Caenorhabditis elegans: one gene and its partner. The protein of the gene in region 2 interacts with the protein of the main gene of each other region in a pairwise test. Each region holds a gene or a part of one and is shown on either strand. Other genes may lie near its edges. The genes, in order: lap-1 and ZK632.10.

The links.
Region 1: the proteins of ZK632.10 (region 2) and lap-1 interact in a two-hybrid assay, tested with the Caenorhabditis elegans proteins (one large-scale study listed by BioGRID).

What each region holds. Positions count from the first base shown.
Region 1 is NC_003281.10:8,398,429-8,403,963, forward strand, and holds lap-1 (Leucine aminopeptidase 1), read right to left. Parts: upstream 3,501-5,535; 5' UTR 3,482-3,500; coding exon 3,340-3,481; intron 2,689-3,339; coding exon 2,369-2,688; intron 2,022-2,368; coding exon 1,673-2,021; intron 1,628-1,672; coding exon 1,498-1,627; intron 1,452-1,497; coding exon 1,229-1,451; intron 1,182-1,228; coding exon 870-1,181; 3' UTR 764-869; downstream 1-763. Other genes in the region: ZK353.2 (uncharacterized protein), read left to right, coding at 296-414, 462-551, 618-708; cutc-1 (Copper homeostasis protein cutC homolog), read right to left, coding at 4,095-4,530, 4,863-5,179; ubxn-4 (UBX domain-containing protein 4), read right to left, coding at 5,396-5,485, 5,532-5,535. UniProt on the Caenorhabditis elegans protein: Probably acts as a digestive enzyme.
Region 2 is NC_003281.10:9,825,698-9,829,185, forward strand, and holds ZK632.10 (UPF0057 membrane protein ZK632.10), read right to left. Parts: upstream 1,482-3,488; 5' UTR 1,455-1,481; coding exon 1,413-1,454; intron 1,368-1,412; coding exon 1,215-1,367; intron 999-1,214; coding exon 951-998; 3' UTR 737-950; downstream 1-736. Other genes in the region: ZK632.11 (uncharacterized protein), read left to right, coding at 2,221-2,303, 2,351-2,417, 2,464-2,543, 2,597-2,693, 2,744-3,027, 3,076-3,220, 3,265-3,474.

The DNA of each region.
Region 1 (5,535 bases), 1.4 Mb from region 2:
TTAAAATTCCACATAAGTTTTAAATTACAGTACTCCTCAAAGGCACACACCTTTTTTGCATTTAAAACAAATTTTTCGTGTTGAGACCGGTACCGTACACCTATAGCGCAAATTACGCTAAATTTTGCATCTGTTAAATGTGTAATATTTGGGTCCCATCGAGATTTACTGTCTAAATTTCAAACTTTACGAAAAATGTTACATAATGTTCTATTTTTGTACTCTCGTCTCCATGTCCACTAGTTTTACAGGTTACTGTTCCTTTCAAAATCTTTTTTTCTCAGAATAAAAAACAATGTCATACGGATATGGTGGATACGGTAATTGTGGTGGTGGAATACTTGGATCAGTTCTTGGAATGGCTGGTGGAATGGCTGGAGGATACGGTGGATATGGTGGATATGGAGGTTATGGGTTTGTTTATTTTGAGTAGATCATTGTTCAACTCTTCGTTATTCCAGAAGATGTGGAGCAGATAATGTGTTTTATCGTTGGCGTTGTTGTGACTACAGTCCTTATGAATGTTGTATACAATTGGAGACATGGGTTGTGTGAGTTTAACTGTTTTTAAAAAGTTTTCAGAAATGCAAGAACACTTATTTTTGATTGAATTTCAGAGTATTTCTTGTCATATTCATAATTGGATTCTTCGTATGTCTTTGTGCTTGTCTAGCCGGATGTGTGTGGTCAGCTCGTAATCGTGAATAATTCCAATGTTTGACAATCAACTTATTAATTGTGATTTTGAAGGTTTCGATATGTATTTACCTCACCATTTATATGCAGTTTAAAAATAAAATAAGTAAAAACCCAGACATAATACACAGAAATAAACATGACGTATATTGAAATCATTGAATACGGGACAATTACTGTTTGAGCATAGGCACTGAAGTGTACTTTCCAAGAAGAGTCGAGAAAAGAGCTGGACCATATCCTGTACCACGATCTCCAACTTCAGCGGGAGCAGCGATATCAAGATGAAGCCAACGTAGTCCTTCGCCAAAACCAATGTGAGCACCAATAAAGAGGCCAGCGACTGCAGATGGTGGTCCATCCATTTTTCCGAGATTCGAATTTTTCATGTCAGCAATAGAAGATTTCAAGTCACCAAAGAAAAGATCCGGGGCAAAAAGCATTGGGGCAACCAAGTCTCCTGAAGCCTTTCCAGCTTTGATGATCTAAGAATGTAAAAATTAAATTGTTATTCTTTTAATGAATGACCAACTTCGTTCTCCAACTGTTCATCATTTGTCATAGCAGCTCCGTGAAGACGTCCTGAAAGCCACGCTTGTGCACCGGTCAGAGTAGCCATATCGAATATAGTTGTTGCTTTGAGAGTCTCTTTTGCATAGAAAACTCCGTCAGCAAGAATCAAACGACCTTCTGCGTCAGTATTGTTGATTTCGACGGTCTTTCCACTCAACATTTTGATAATATCATCAGGCTTGCTGGAAATTAAATCATAAAGTAAAATTGAATTGAAGTTAAATATACTTTGCAATTGGGCTGACATTATTCTCAACAATACAGAGACAAGCATGGAGAGTTTGTGAAAAACCGTGTTTGACAAGAGCAGAGTAAGCTTCAAGCATTCCAGCGGCACCTCCCATATCTCTTTTCATATCTGAAAAAATCCATTTTCATAAATAATAATTGAAGTTTTTCATACTTGGCATTCCAGTCTTGGTCTTAATTTGCAAGCCTCCAGTGTCGTATACAACTCCTTTTCCGACAAGTGCAATGTGCTCCGTCGATCCAGGAACCTCATGGGACAAGACAACAAACGCAGGTGGTGTTGGACCAGCTTTTCCGACGTGATAGATTCCGCCAAATCCAGCCTTCAACAGTTCTTCCCCACGGATCACTGTTATTTTTGATCCAGTCGCATTTCCAACTTTGACTGCTTCATCAACAAGAGCATCAGTAGTCAGGATATTGGCTGGAGTATCGATGAGTCTTGCGGTTTCACGGACCGATTCTGAGAGATCAGTAAGGAAAACTGCATCCTCGTTGGTGAGCTGCAAAGAAATTGAATGTTTGTTTTTCAATTAAAACAAAACAATTAATTCGGATTTTGAGATTGAGATCTTGAAGGACACATAACTTTCTTATCAACGGAAGTTCATGAAGACCGCCGAATTTTGCAGAAGCTATCAAATGATTCTACTAGTTCCTCTTTTTTAATTTCGTCACACTACGCAATAAACTCTTATCGTATTTCTACATTATCAGCACACAATTCCAGAAAAGAATAGTCTCCAGGCTGACTTTGCAAATAGAAGCAAGCACATGGTGTCTGCTGTCTATCAGTGATGATAAAACTATACAGATCAATATATCAAAATGAAGGATAGTTGTCACATACCTTGTCGCAAACCACATCGATATTCACATTCAGTTCACGAATTCCTGAAGTTTTCATCGAGAACTTGCAGAAGGTCCGAGCAATAGCCGCAACGTGAGAAAGAACATCTGGATATTCAGCAAACAGCACAAAATGAACATTCTTTGTATCCTCAGGATAGTTGATTGGTTTTAACTCCTTATATATCGAATGAGCATTAGTGGGGGTATTTCCACGTGAAGAGGCATCTGGGACAGTGATCAAATGAGCCAGCTCGTAGTGAAGAGGATGACGTCCTGAGGCGGGGATTCGAGAAATCATAGAGTTCCATGAGTCGCCATCTGAAATTATTTTTATATTATGGAAAAGTATGAACCATCTGCAGATGCAAAATGTTGTTCTCTTTACACCAACCATACGGTACCAGGTCTCGACAAGAGACATTTTTGTAAACTACAGGGAGGTGTGGGTCTTTTAGAGTACTGTAATTTCAAAATCTCATTTATTCTGAATGGTTCATGATTTTCCATACATACCTGTGCGGCATTTGGTTTCGGCATTTGAACAAAATGCACTTTTTCATAAATATGAAAATACGTCATACGGCATACGGCATACGGCATTCGCCATACGGCATTTGGGTGCATATCTCGAGCAGGGGTAAACTTTTTTTGAAATTTTTTTGACTGGTGACAAGCCTAAGAGTCAGGCTTCTCATCGTATGCTATTTCATACATATACGTATTTTCATATTTATGAAAAAGTGCATTTTGTTCAAATGCCGAAACCAAATGCCGCACGGGTATGTTTCCATAGTCTCTTCCGCGCTTTGTTAAAATGTATGTGTTTTTATTTAATATATGTTTAATATTTAGTATGTATATAGATATCTCTAGATATATATGAATTTTTTTAAACGAAAGTGACCATGTACCGTAATTTTGGACAAAAATCAAAAAACATCGCGTTTGTGTAATCTACCAAAACCGAACCTGTAACAAACTTTTGTGCGACTTCTTTGAATTTTCCTTCGAAAGTCACATTTTTCAAGACACTCTTCTTTCCAACAATGATTAGGCTAGTCAGGCCATCTCCAACAGCTTGAATCCCGTTACGAACGAGGACTTGTGTCATTTTTAGGTGACACTAATCACTGAAATTAGAAACTTTGAAAACCTTTTGAATTAAAAAAAAACAAAGTTGGAAAGTATAAACTATAGTATTCAGACTAAAAAAGGCAAACTCTTTTTAGAAAAAAGGTGTAAAAATTATTACTCAAATAAACCGTTTATCAGTTCCTCCAGCAGGTAGAGAAAGAGTGACCAGAGAAACATAAATGCGAGAAAAGGATGATAAAAAATGGCGAGAGAAAATGTAGAGCAAAAAAATGAGAAATTGAGAGAAGGAACAAATCTTCAGGGCGCGTGTTTGCATACATTCGTGGTCTAAAATTTGAGAGGTTGTGAAATAATGAGGAGCGAAATTTAAAATTTTAATTAAGTTCAAATCAACTCCTATATTAAAGTTGCCTAGGCATAAATAAATTGATAACCCTCACAATCCCGTAGAGTAAAAAAACATGCTACTTCGAATATCTAATTGATTAGTGAGCTTCTAAAATTAATAAATAACTTTCGGTACAGAAAAATTCTAGCCAACTAATTGCAAAACACAATGAAAATGTTAGAAACTATGATGAAGCATGCAATATAGACTGGAATATGACATGAAAAAGAATTGAACATAATTAAACGGGGGCCAATGTCGCTTTCAACATCCGTACTTCTTCCAAAGAAGTGACACGTGATGGCTGATTGTCCTGTTTTCCCATTGACACCTTATTCAATGGAGCATTTTTCTTGGCAACAGAAGCTGAAGCATGATACCAGTGACATTTAGTCCATTCGACAAGATTCGCGACATTCGAACTGTTCACACCACAACCTGCGAGAACATCGATCTTTCCTTTGTGAAGTTCTTGCATTTCTCGAATGATATAAACTCCGTCGAGTGCTGACGGCTCTTGTCCACTTGTCAAAACAGCTTTGAATCCAACATCAATAGCGTCCTCAAGACAAGTTTTCCAGTCATAGGCGACGTCAATTGCTCGATGAAATGTGACAGGATGTGGACGGGCAGTTTCAATTATTGATTGACATGATGTACGATCCAATGAACCGGCTCTGAAAATTGAAATTTTTTGTGGATCATCCAGAGCAATCAACCGTTATAATTACAAAACTTCTTTCGTAATTTTGCCGCATGTCTATGCATTTTAAATGTTTTTTAAAAACAAGCTTTCCGCATTGTTCAAAAATTAAGTCAGCCTAAAAATAATTATTTAAATGTTATGTAAAATTTTTATTGATAAACTTGATTGAGAATTTATTTGCGGAAAATGGTGAAAAATTCGAAATGAAACAAGAATATGTTTTTCTTTTTTCATTTAAACATGTTGGAAATAAAATTATAATATATTTATTTGTTTCATTCAATTTAAAACTCTCCGACTTACGATGTTAATGCTCCAAAAACGAATCCTGTGGCACCAGCTTTTTTGAGCCATTCAACGTCTTCCATATTCGCTGCCATTTCGTCTTCATTATACACAAAATCGCCTGCCCGTTGGCGAATCATACAATAAAGTGGAATATCGGGATACTTGTAGCTCAGAATAGACACAAATCCGACGGATGGAGTGAGCCCTCCGAGTTGTAAAGCTGAGCAAACTTCCAATCGATCAGCTCCACCGGCAACAGCATTTTCCGCAGATTCCAGATTATCGATGCATATTTCCAGTTTTATTTGCTTCTGGGATTCTGTTTCTGTCATCTTAACACAATAGAGTTTGAGAAAATATGTTTTTAACATTGTAAAGAATAGGTATAAAGTTATGGTTTAAAATCCGAAAACTCAGCAAGAAAACTGAACATATCTGGGATAAATGAAAACTTTTATTCGATTCGAATTATAAACGAGCAAAAAATAAATTATCCATGGCGATGAACTTTTGGTGTTGGAATCACAGGCGACAAGAAATTTACATTATTACATGAACTGAGTAGAATTTCCATTGAAACTGGCTCGCTCTTCAGGATCGTCTTCATTCGGATTTTCAAGCCCTGCGACGTTTCCACGCTGAAAATAATTTCATTATGGAAAGAAAATAACAATGCACACAAACCCGA
Region 2 (3,488 bases):
GTAGTGTTGACGAAGATCAAATCTATTTACAAGTGTAAATGTTTAAAATCGATAATTTGAAATTTTCGATTAGGAATAAGGCTGAAAAGTATTTAAACAAAGCTTCAATTGAGAAATACCAGAAAAATTCGTTAAAAATTTTCAACGAGTTTAAAGGAGGGCGCATTTGTGTGGAATTTGTGTGGCGTAGAGATTTCTTTATTGATTTTTCTCGTTTTTTTTTTTTAATATTCTGACTTATATTGCGTTTATCAGCCATAATAAATGTTAAAAAGGTCGAAAATGAGAAAAATCAATGGAGAATGAAAAACAACTCTAAATGAGAGTGCGTTTTTGTAGAAAAGCTCTACAAAAGTGAGAAATAAAGTAACGTTTTCAGGCTTTTTTTCAAGAATAGAAATCTGCCTGAATATTTTTAGCGAATCAACAGCAGACGGACAGTTTCATTCAAATACTCGTATTTATACATTTGCGTTGGCGCCAGAGACACGTGATGGATAGACGAGCGGAGACCATCGAAAAAAGTAAAAATGAAAAGAGACGCAGAGCAGCACATTTTGAGGGCTGACTTGTTTCTGCTAGATATATTGGTGCGGTGTCATCGAAGGCACAGAACAAAAAGAAAAAAGAAGCAAGAAAGAAAAAAAAGAAACGAACAAACAAGACAAAAAAAATAAATCGATCGGAACAAAGCACCGATAGATCATAAAATGGTGATAAATAAAACAATGTATATCGAAAAGAGGAATGATTTATTTTTTCAATGGAGGGAATGAACACAATCTCATTAAGGCCTTAGAATGAGAAAATTCGGCAAGTGATACAGTTTTTGATCATGGACCTGTGACAATAAGTCAAAATTGCAAGGGGTGAATTAAAGGTTTACAAAGGATAAAGAAATACATTTATGTCGTGGAGCGCAAAGTAGGAACGTGTCTTGTCGTGAGCATTTAAGCCGAATAAGGAGAATAAGCTGGTGGAGCGGTTCCGTGGTCATTCTGAAATAATTTTAATTTAAACATTTATTAAGCTTTGTAGAAAGACAACAAAGGAAACAGTAGGATGAATCATGGACAAGAAACCGACCCCCTTGTAATAAATTTCAAAAAAAAAGTCACCATTTTATCAAGATTCAAGGGTATCTGTTGTTCTGAAATTTGACAAATCACTATCTTTTTCCTTTTGGCTAATCTTTTTTCCAACTATCCACTTACAGTCTGCACGTATATGTTCTGAACGACAGTCTTCTCCTTGCAAAGGATGATGTACCACGCGTGAATGATTCCTGGGATGATCCCGAGACAGGTGAGAAGAATGTTGATGAGGAGGTCACAGTTGCATCCAACATCCAGAAGCACAGCGATTGGCTGGAAAATAGTGGTTGAAGAATGGTTTCAGACTGAAGAACTCACCGGAAGGAAAATTGCAAGGATGGCGAGAAGAATCTGGCACATTTCGTTTTCGTTTCGACGAGACTTGAGCTGAAAAACAGAGATTATTGGGAGAATTGCAAGTATTGAAGATAGATTAAAAAAGTGTGAGATTTCGGTGATTAAATTAAACTATAAAGTCATCACTTCCAGCAACACGGAAGGTTTATCGATTGACGATGAATCAAAAAATTGCGCAATCGACGAACGCGATTGTGGTTAGAATCACAAGACAACACCTCGCTCGTTGGCTATCGCTGTGTGTCTGCTCTCTCTTCAGAACTCTCGTGCTCTAATACAGAGAAGCATGAAATGTGGTGCTTGGTGCCTAAGGAATTTTTTAATATAAAAGTTGACGTGTCAGAATCATTCATTTGAAGAAAATGCAGAAGAAGAAGTAGAAATACTGTGAAAATTGTTTTTAGTATGGGTTGTAATTGTTTATTTCAGACAGTAAATTGTAAAGCTAAATATGTTGTGAAAACAATTTAATTTTAGAAATATTATTTTTAATCTTCAATCAATGTAGCAATTTTCAAGAGAAAATAATGCGAAAACCTGATTTTCTTTTGATAAAAAAGAATAAAGTTTGAAAAACAAACATGTAAACAAGTTACGGTGAATGTTCACAGAACCTGCATACAGATTCGGTGTTTGCGTACATGTGTACCGTACCCACAAACAAAAAACATGCGTTGATTGGAAATTTCGCAATTAACTTTTATTTTTGTCACTAAAATTATTATTAAAATATTTAGTTTCATAATTTCTCATAAAATATTTTCAGATAATGTCCGATATTGAGATTATTGAAGAAATTCAACCAGTTTCGTTGAAGCGGAAGCAGCCGAGTACTTCTTTCAATGGAAAAAGGTTTCTTTTTGGAAAATAATCGAATTTTTTGATATTTTCCTTTTTAGAAAAAGAACTTCTTCTGGGCTTATAGAAAAAAGCGAAACAATGAAAGGAACGGAAACAGAGTTTGAGGTAACCTTCACAATATTCACTTCAGTTGATTTTTTTTGTTTTTCAGAAGTTCGTCATTGATCGCACCATCACTCCACAAAGAAAATTGAATGCAGAAGATGTAGAAAAAAGTGGAGAAGATATAGGGTAAAAAAATATATAGTTAATTCAATGACTTTTCCAATAAAAATTCATTGCAGGTCGAGCGAGTGGCGTAAACGCCTTGAATGCACTCTTCTCGGAAGCGTTTCGACCCCAGTAACTGTGAAGAAGGAGAATAACATTAGAAAGAAAATAGTAAGCTTTTATTCATTCACAAAGCTTCTTAAACTAGGAATTTGTTTCAGTCTTGTTTCAATTGTGATGGCGAACACAACCTGAGAGATTGTACTCAGCGGAAAGATTTCAGACGAATTTCAAGGAAAAAGAGGGAATCTGGTGATGGAAGGCAAAGAGTTTTCTATAATGACGTTGGAATATCAAAACAAAGAGAGAAACATTTCAAACCTGGTGTGATCAGCGATAGATTAAGAGCCGCTCTTGGATTGCGTGGGAATGATATTCCGGAGCACATTTATCGAATGAGAAGACTTGGGTTAATCGATGGATATCCGCCAGGCTGGTTGAGAAAGTATGAAAATGGTAAATTTATGCAATTTAATATTGTTATTAATTTCAGATCAATCAAATCCACCGATCAATTGAAATTCTTCGACTCGACATCCAAAGAAGATGATGAAATGTCAGTGAAGCCTCCTGAATTAGATACATCGAAAATTGTATGGTATCCAGGATTCAATGGAGAACAATCTTCTCTAAATGATGTAAGAACAAATATGTTGTCACTTTAGAAATTACATTTTTATAGCGTGAAGACTTCAAGATTCCACCAAGAGATGTATTTTGCTCAGTTTATCAAGATGAATTGCTGAAAATATTCAAGAAAAGTGAAAAAGCGGAGAAACGAAGAGCCAAATCAACTCCGAAACATAAAAAGTTCGCTAATGAAGATGATGATGATGTTATAGTAATCACAAGTGATGAAATCAAAATTGACAAGTTCAATACTCCGGGAGAAGTAAATTAAATTAA